2 linked regions of the Xenopus tropicalis genome follow. The protein of the gene in region 1 purifies or fractionates together with the protein of each later gene. This does not show direct contact. Links are inferred from orthologs where the notes say so. Each region holds a gene or a part of one and is shown in the gene's direction. Other genes may lie near its edges.

Region 1 (4,178 bases):
TTTTTATTTCTGAATTACACTATTTACATAGCAAATAATTCAGTCTACCATTTAACATTTTATTCTTGAACCAACAAATGTATTTTTTTAGCTGTAATATTGGTCTATAAGCAGCATTGTGCAAGTCTGAGCTTTCAGAAGGAGCCAGCGCTACACATTGGAACTGCTTTCAGATAACCTATTGTTTCTCCTACTTCCATATAACTGAAGGAGTCACAAGCTGGAATTGGATTTCTTACTATTGAGTGCAATTCTGAGATCTACTGGGAGCTGCTATCTTGCTACCTTCCCATTATTCTGCCGATTGGCTGCTGGGAGGGGGTTCATATCACTCCAACTTGCAGCTCAGCAGTAAAGTGTGAGTTCAGAGCACAGGTCACATGACTGTGGCACCCTGGGAAATGAAGAATATGGCTAGCCCAACGTGAAATTTCAAAATTAAATATAAAAAAAATCAGTTTGTGTTTTTGAAAAATGGATTTCAATGCAGGATTCTGCTGGAGACGCTCTATTAACAGATATGTTTTTAAAAAATACGTTTTTCCCGTGACAGTATTAATTTAACGTATTGTATCCTTACCTTGTATTTACTATCATACTTTGTATTTATTTTATTGTAATAGTCCCGTTTATTCTATTCATTTATTGTCCTACTGTACAGCGCTGGGTACATAAGTAGTGCTATATAAATAAAAATATATATACATACATAAAGATAATATTATATATCAAAATGGGGCTTGGGGCAAAAATAAAAAAAAATCTTAATAAAACACTGCTCGCCTTAAAACAGTTTAACAAGTATTTCTAAAGAATATTTAGTTTACGTAATTCTTGTAGTTAGCCTATCATTGGCACATTACCACACCCTCTTTTGCCAATAACTAATCCCTATACCTTTAGAGGGTTAACTCTTAAACTTAGCCACTTATAATATTAATGCAGAGCGCCATGTAACTATGTGACGCAATATAAATACACGAAGACGATGAATATAGGAACGGTAGTAATACCCACCAACAAAATGGTGATCTTTACAAGAACATGTACGCCGGCTTCTTGCCTACCACAAACATGGCCGAGCCCTTCAACTGCGACGATGCAATTTCTTTGGTCTTCCTTAGCGTGATACCGAAACTTGAACAAATTCTACAACCCGAATAGCCACCTTCAGCAAAAAAGGGAAACGATATTATGCGCAACTTTATTCCTTTTCCACAGTGCAGTTTTAAGCTAATAACACGTCCTCAGAGATACCCCACAGCAGTATTCGCTTGTAGCCATCAGGCAGAGTGAGGGCAGCCCATGTAGGGTCCTCCTGCAGCCCAGGGAGCCGAGCTCCGGAAATCGCGCTCTTCTTCCTGTTTGGTCTCGTGGAGACAACATGGACGATGAGGAGGAAACTTACCGGTTGTGGAAGATCCGCAAAACTATTATGCAGGTGAGAAAATTGAGTTTTAAATCTTTTTGTGTTATAATCTTCGCCTTTTTCAGTAATTCGAACTCAGCTACGTTGTGTTGGGTACCATTCATTTCTGCTTCCAGCATATACTTCTACTGTACTCTTCGTCCCTGTCACTTTTACTTTTGTGCTTTACCTCATCTGTCTCCATATTACCTGTTTCACTCGCATCCTTCTTTCCTTCGCCAGCTGTGCCATGACCGTGGTTACTTAGTAACGCAGGATGAATTGGATCAGACACTGGATGAGTTTAAAGCCCAGTTTGGGGACAAACCTAGCGAAGGGCGCCCTCGCCGAACTGACCTGACTGTATTAGTAGCTCATAATGATGATCCCACAGACCAAATGTTTGTTTTCTTCCCAGGTGAGTAGGTGCAAAAAAAAAAAAAAAAACAGTGACTGGCTGAAGGGTCTATACATGCAGACAAAGGATTATTACATGTTTGCCTGTCTTATTTGTAGAGGAACCCAAAGTTGGCATTAAGACAATTAAGATGTATTGCCAGAGAATGCAGGAGGAGAACATTACGAGGGCTTTAATCGTGGTGCAGCAGGGAATGACCCCATCTGCCAAACAGGTAATTCTGCCAGCTAACGTGCACCTTACCTAAGCATACTTACTGGGTGAACTGCAGTTCTGATCCAAAGCTTTTATAAATGAAAATGTACAGATAAAATATATACTACTCCGATGAATTAATTTTCTATGTGATTTGTATGTTTTGCTGGCAAAAGACACCTAAGCTTTATTTTTTATCTTAAAAATGGGATAAGTTTGAAAGACCCTTCTTTAAAAAGGAATACACCTATTATTAAAACTATAGATCTCATCTGCTAAATGCAAAAAAGTGCAATTTGCCATATTACCCCTCAGTGCAGCATCCTTCCTGCAGCATAGGCATACACTTACATGGTTGTCAGTCATGTGCAGTTCAGCTTCCACAACCTTGATTGGCTATGAGTGCATAAGGAGGCCCAGTGCTTAAAGGAACAGTAACACCAAAAAATGAAAGTGTATAAAAATAATTAATATATTATATACTATTGTTTTGCACTGGTAAAAGTTGTGTGTTTTCTTCATAAACACTACTGCAGTTTATATAAATACCCTACTGTGTAGCCACGGGGGCAGCCATTTAAATTGAAAAAAAGAGAAAAGGCACAGGTTGCTAAGCAGATAACAATTAAGTAGCAGATTCCCATTGTATTCTACACAGTTTATCTGGTATCTTCTTATGTAACCTGTGCCTTTTCTCCTTTTTTCAATTTAAATGGCTGCCCCCATGGCTACACAGCAGCTATTTCTATTAACTATAGTAGTCTTTCTGAAGCAAACACGCAACTTTTACTAGTGCAGGGCAACAGTAAATTATATTTTAATTATTTTAAAACATTTTTATTTTTTAGTGTTACTGTTCCTTTAACACCAGGCCCAGACTGCCAGTCTGTGGATTCTGGCAAATGCCAGAGGAACTGCTGTAAGATCCCACAGACAGTTGCTGTTTGGGCCTTTGTGTATTTGAAATATTAGGGCCTATTTTGAATCTCAGCCTGGGTCTGCATAACACCAGGTCAAACCAGATGTTAAGCACAGGGCTTGGGTGCAAGTAGGTGCAGGTCATATGCGTATGCTGTTTAAAATTTGCAATTCTGGCTGATGAACTAACATAGTCATATTATCCAAGTATAAGCAGGTTACCGTTTTATGTTCTCTGGCAAGTAAGATAAAGGCAGACGTTTACTAGTTAATTAGTTACTAGTTAATATTGTATGATTATTACTTAATACTACTACCACGTTTTCTAAAAACAGGATCGAATCACTTTATTTGCCTGATGGAAAGGTAAAGGACAACTATAAACCTTCTCTCCTATGATATAGGAAAGAGGATGGACCGGTCATTGCATATAAATATGAATGTAACCTTTTCATGCTAAATCATAATAAAGACGTTAAAAAAAAAAATTGGCAATTCTGCACCTACTTCTTGTAAGTGAGCCCTTTTGACTTCAATCCAGTTGAAACCTTGTTTCCTATGCATAGGATAAATACTGCCAAAATCTGAAAAAATATTTTAATTATTAAATTATCAGTTAATGTAGTAAAATGTTTACATGGTGTTAGTCCATAATAAATACTATCCAAAGCTTCTGCCAGCTTTCCTATCTTTATAGCAATCTCTTTATTTTGCAGTCCCTGGTGGATATGGCACCCAAATACATTCTGGAGCAGTTTCTACAACAGGAGCTTCTGATTAATATCACAGAGCATGAGGTGAGTTTTAATACAGAAGGGGAAGAAACACTTTCACTCATACTGAAACGTTTCTGTTATCCATACACACTGACATGTAATAGGTGGGTGCACATGGGAACGTTAGGTGCCTTCTTGATGAGTAGCAGCAGAGTATTGTAATGTGTTAGCCATAGTTTCAGAAAAAAGATTTTAGGTGGTAACATGATACCGTTTAAAATTAATTAACCAATAAACAGTATCACCTTCCCACAAAAATCTTTTTTTTTTTTTTTTTGTGAGTCCATATAGTTTAGAAGTTCATCTTTATTAAGTTCTGTACTGTTTATTTCTGATAGCTCAGGGATTTTACATTTGACCATAACTTTGTAAACTAAAACTCCCAATATGTTGCATTTGTAGCTCGATTGCTGGATGAATTTGTAGTTCGGTACCTCTAATAGCAAATGATAGGCAGGATGTG
Region 2 (4,001 bases), on another chromosome or scaffold:
CCGCCCCCAGGCCCCCCTACATTTCCCTCCCGCCCCCAGGCCCCCCTACATTTCCCTCCCGCCCCCAGGCCCCCCTACATTTCCCTCCCGCCCCCAGGCCCCCCTACATTTCCCTCCCGCCCCCAGGCCCCCCTACATTTCCCTCCCGCCCCCAGGCCCCCTACATTTCCCTCCCGCCCCCAAGCCCCCTACATTTCCCTCCCGCCCCCAAGCCCCCCTACATTCCCCTCCCACCCCCAAGCCCCCCTACATTCCCCTCCCACCCCCAAGCCCCCCTACATTCCCCTCCCACCCCCCTACATTTCCATCCCACCCCAAGCCCCCCCTATACTTTCCTCCCACCCCAGTACCCCTCCCCTGTCCCCTAGATTCTCCCCGCACCCCTCCCTTCGGCCTCCCTACATCCCCCATTAACCCAATTACTCCCCCCCCAAACATCTAACCTGTCCCCCACATTCCCTAACCCTGCCCCCCCCCGGGACCCCAAGCCCCTCTACCCCCCCCTCTCACCCCAGTGCCCCCGCACGTACCCCCCACTCTGTTCCCCACTCCCCCCGGGCCACACATCCAACCACTGTTTACATTGCACTCCCCCCCCCCCCCCCCCGGCCCCCAACATTCCCCTCCCCGCCACCATACCCCACCCCGGCCCATTTCGTTCCCCTCAGCCCAGCAGCCCCCCCCCCGGCCCCCCATATGCCTCCCCCACACACCCCCCAATTGGGCCCCGCACTCCCCCGCAGGGACTCACCGGCAGCTTGGGGTTGACCTCCCCCTTACAGTGATGGCAGAAGAACCGATGCTGAGACACCGCTGCCGCCTCCGCCATGATCCCTACCCGCTCTCCCCCAGCTCCGGCTGCTGCTGCTGGGAACCGCGTCACGTCAGTCCTCCCAGCACCGCCGACTCGCCTACACGAACGTCTCCTATCGTACGGCGGCGCTCTATCCCCTCCAACACCAGCGAGTCTTCCAATCAACCCCTCCCAATATCGGGGCTTGTGAGGCAAGAGTGACCCCGCACGGCGCTCTATCCCCTGCCAGCACCAGCGAGTCTTCCAATCAACCCCTCCCAATATCGGGGCTTGTGAGGCAAGAGTGACCCCGCACGGCGCTCTATCCCCTGCCAGCACCAGCGAGTCTTCCAATCAGCCTCCTCCACTGCCCCCTCAGCCCAAAAGGAGGTTCAAGAGAAGAACGGGGGGGGGTTACTAATACCGGAAGTTGCTATGTGGTAACCAAGGTGACGTTCGGACGGTGTCAGCTGACAGGAAGCGGAAGCCATGTGAGTGCTGTTGGTAGAATTCTGGTGTGAGTTTCACTCTAGGGCTGCATGGAGGCGCTGGCAGAGGATTGTGGGAGCTGAGAGTTGTAGTTCAGCCATAACTTATGATGGTGCCTTAGTTCTGACGGCTCAGACAATTGCTTCCCTACTGCCTGGGCCTCATTGGGCAGATGAGGGGCCTCAGCCCCTGTTGGGACATAAGCTTATAGTCATGTATATGTCTGGCAGTGGGATAGCAGCAGTGATAGTGCATTATAGGGTGTAGTACAACTATAACTATCCCTCTGTTTCAGCCGGTGCCGGGAGATGAGTGCGGTTGAGAGCAAGCTGTGCTCCCTGCTGCTGCAGGAACATTACGGGGAGATTGTGGACCGAGTGGGGACCTTTCTGATACGGACGGGCAACCAGCCGCTGAGAGTGATCGCCAACGAGACAGGGACGTCATTGGATCAGGCAAGTTTAACCCTCTCGCTCCCTGGGCACTGCCCCCAACTAGTCCCCGTCCCTTGATGGACTGTTTTTTCCTCCGACAGGTGAAGAAAGCCCTTTGTGTCCTGATACAGCACAACCTGGTGACCTACCAGCTGAACAAACGCGGCTTTGTCGAGTACAAGGCCCACGTCGACCGCTTCCTGCGCATACTGCGCTACCCGCGCTACATCTACACGGCAAAGACCTTGTACGGGGACACGGGGGAGCTGATTGTGGAGGAGCTGCTGCTCAATGGCAAAATGACACTAAGCGCCGCAGTAAAGAAAGTGGCCGACAGACTGACCGAGACCATGGAAGGTAATGACTGCCGCCTTGGGGTAGCCCTGTGGCAACCTTCTGGGATAGGCAGCCCAGCAACCTGATCATCCCTTCTGGCTGTCAGCTGCCCTGGTTTATATTGTGAGTGTCAGAAATCTAGGGGTGTGCATAGGGGACCCAGCCCCAAGGAGCTGACAGTCTAGTCTAGTGGTAGAATGGGAGCCCCTGTGACTAACCTAAAGAGCTTGCAATCTAGCCACTAGGGCTAAAGTCTAGTGATATAAAGGAAAGCCCTCTGGCGGTCCAAAGAAGCTTACAGTCTAGTTATAAAATGGCACACTCTGTCCCACATAGACTAATATCTATTGGTATAAGGAAATATTCATCTCCCAGGAGCTTACAGTCTAGTGGTAGAATGGGAACCCTTGTGATGGACATAAAAAGCTTACAATCTAACCACTGGGGCTAAAGTCTAGAAATATAATGGAAAGCCCTTTGACTGTCCCAAGAAGCTTACAGTCTAGCTATATAATGGAACACCCTGTCCCACATAGCCTAACATCTATTGGTATAAGGAAATATTCAGCCCCTAGGAGCTTACAGTCTATTGGTAGATTGGGAACTCTTGTGATGGACATCAAAAGCTTGCAATCTAGCCACTGGGGCTAAAGTCTAGTGATATAATGGAAAGCCCTTTGACTGTCTGAAGAAGCTTACAGTCTAGTTATATAATGGCACACCCTATCCCAAATACCCGAGCATCTATTGGTATAAGGAAATATTCAGCCCCTAGAAGCTTACAGTCTATTGGTAGAATGGGAGCCCCTGTGACTAACATAAAGAGCTTGCAATCTAGCCACTGGGGCTAAAGTCTAGTGATATAATGGAAAGCCCTTTGGCTGTCCAAAGAAGCTTACAGTCTAGTTATATAATGGCACACCCTGTCCCACATAGCATAAGATCTATTGGTAAATTGGTTAATATTTATTCAGCCCCTAGAAGCTTGCAGTCTAGTTCTATAGGGGGAAAGTCTGAAGCTGTCAGAAAGAGCTTACAATCTAGTCGCATAACTGGGAACTGTACCGCAAAGAATGTGTACTGTAGAGGAATAATAGGAACCTGCTCAATGCTTTAAGCCCATTAGCTAAGCCCTGTGTATTGTGTTCTCCCTGCGCAGACAGCAAGAGCATGGAGTACAGTGAGGTTTCTGCCACCTTTACCCACCTGGCAGATACACACTTTGTGCAGCGGTGCCCGACTGTGCAGGAGAAGGATGCCACGGAGGGCCGCCCACCACTTGCCCCAACCCTGCAGATGAATGAGAAGGAAATGTACATCGTCCCTAAGCTAAATATGACAGGTAAGTGCCCTTGTGGGGCAGCCGCTCTCCGATACTGCCCGGAGGTGTATACAATGTAGGAAGGGGTGCTACTGGATACCCCTTGTTATGCTGTGCCTATTGTTGCTCTAGGCAGGGGCAAACGCCGCAGATCATCTGATGATGACGATGGAGGCAGTCAGGCCAAGAGACCAAAAAAGGAAGCAGAGGTGGGTGTTCATCGTTCACCCCAATATGGCCCTGCATTCTTGTCTTGCCTGTAACTTACCCTTTCCTCCTTGGTCTCCCTGCCCAGGATAGCCAAGATGATGGCGTCTACTGGCAAGTCAACACGGAGCGGTTCCACCAGCACTTCCGGGACCAGGCTATTATCAGCGCTGTTTCCAATAAAATGGACCAGGTACCTTGTGGCAGAACCCCTTGAGGGGTATGTAGTTTAAGGGGCAGGTATAAACACCTAAATCAAGCAGGTCTTGTATAATGGGCACCAAATACAATCATTGGTTGCTATGGGTTGCTACAACTGGGCACACTTTGGGCCTTATGTTGCATTACCTTCGACCCTTCAGGAAGTAGCGGCAATGTACTACACTGATGCAACAGCAATAAAATGGTCGCTTCCAGTGAC

The links.
Region 2: the proteins of polr2e (region 1) and polr3c purify together in Homo sapiens (affinity purification with mass spectrometry; 4 studies listed by BioGRID and IntAct, counting the BioPlex papers as one, with this or other methods). This does not show direct contact. The link is inferred for Xenopus tropicalis from reciprocal best matches to the Homo sapiens genes POLR2E and POLR3C.

The regions. Positions count from the first base shown.
Region 1 is NC_030677.2:100,196,728-100,200,905, reverse strand, and holds the start of polr2e (DNA-directed RNA polymerases I, II, and III subunit RPABC1), read left to right. Parts: upstream 1-1,374; 5' UTR 1,375-1,384; coding exon 1,385-1,441; intron 1,442-1,651; coding exon 1,652-1,826; intron 1,827-1,924; coding exon 1,925-2,040; intron 2,041-3,655; coding exon 3,656-3,736; intron 3,737-4,178. UniProt on the Homo sapiens protein: DNA-dependent RNA polymerase catalyzes the transcription of DNA into RNA using the four ribonucleoside triphosphates as substrates.
Region 2 is NC_030684.2:141,779,121-141,783,121, forward strand, and holds the start of polr3c (DNA-directed RNA polymerase III subunit RPC3), read left to right. Parts: upstream 1-1,191; 5' UTR 1,192-1,284; exon of another isoform or gene 1,285-1,310; intron 1,311-1,577; 5' UTR 1,578-1,590; coding exon 1,591-1,737; intron 1,738-1,817; coding exon 1,818-2,073; intron 2,074-3,211; coding exon 3,212-3,394; intron 3,395-3,505; coding exon 3,506-3,582; intron 3,583-3,668; coding exon 3,669-3,773; intron 3,774-4,001. Other genes in the region: E3 ubiquitin-protein ligase RNF115, read right to left, coding at 752-829. UniProt on the Homo sapiens protein: DNA-dependent RNA polymerase catalyzes the transcription of DNA into RNA using the four ribonucleoside triphosphates as substrates.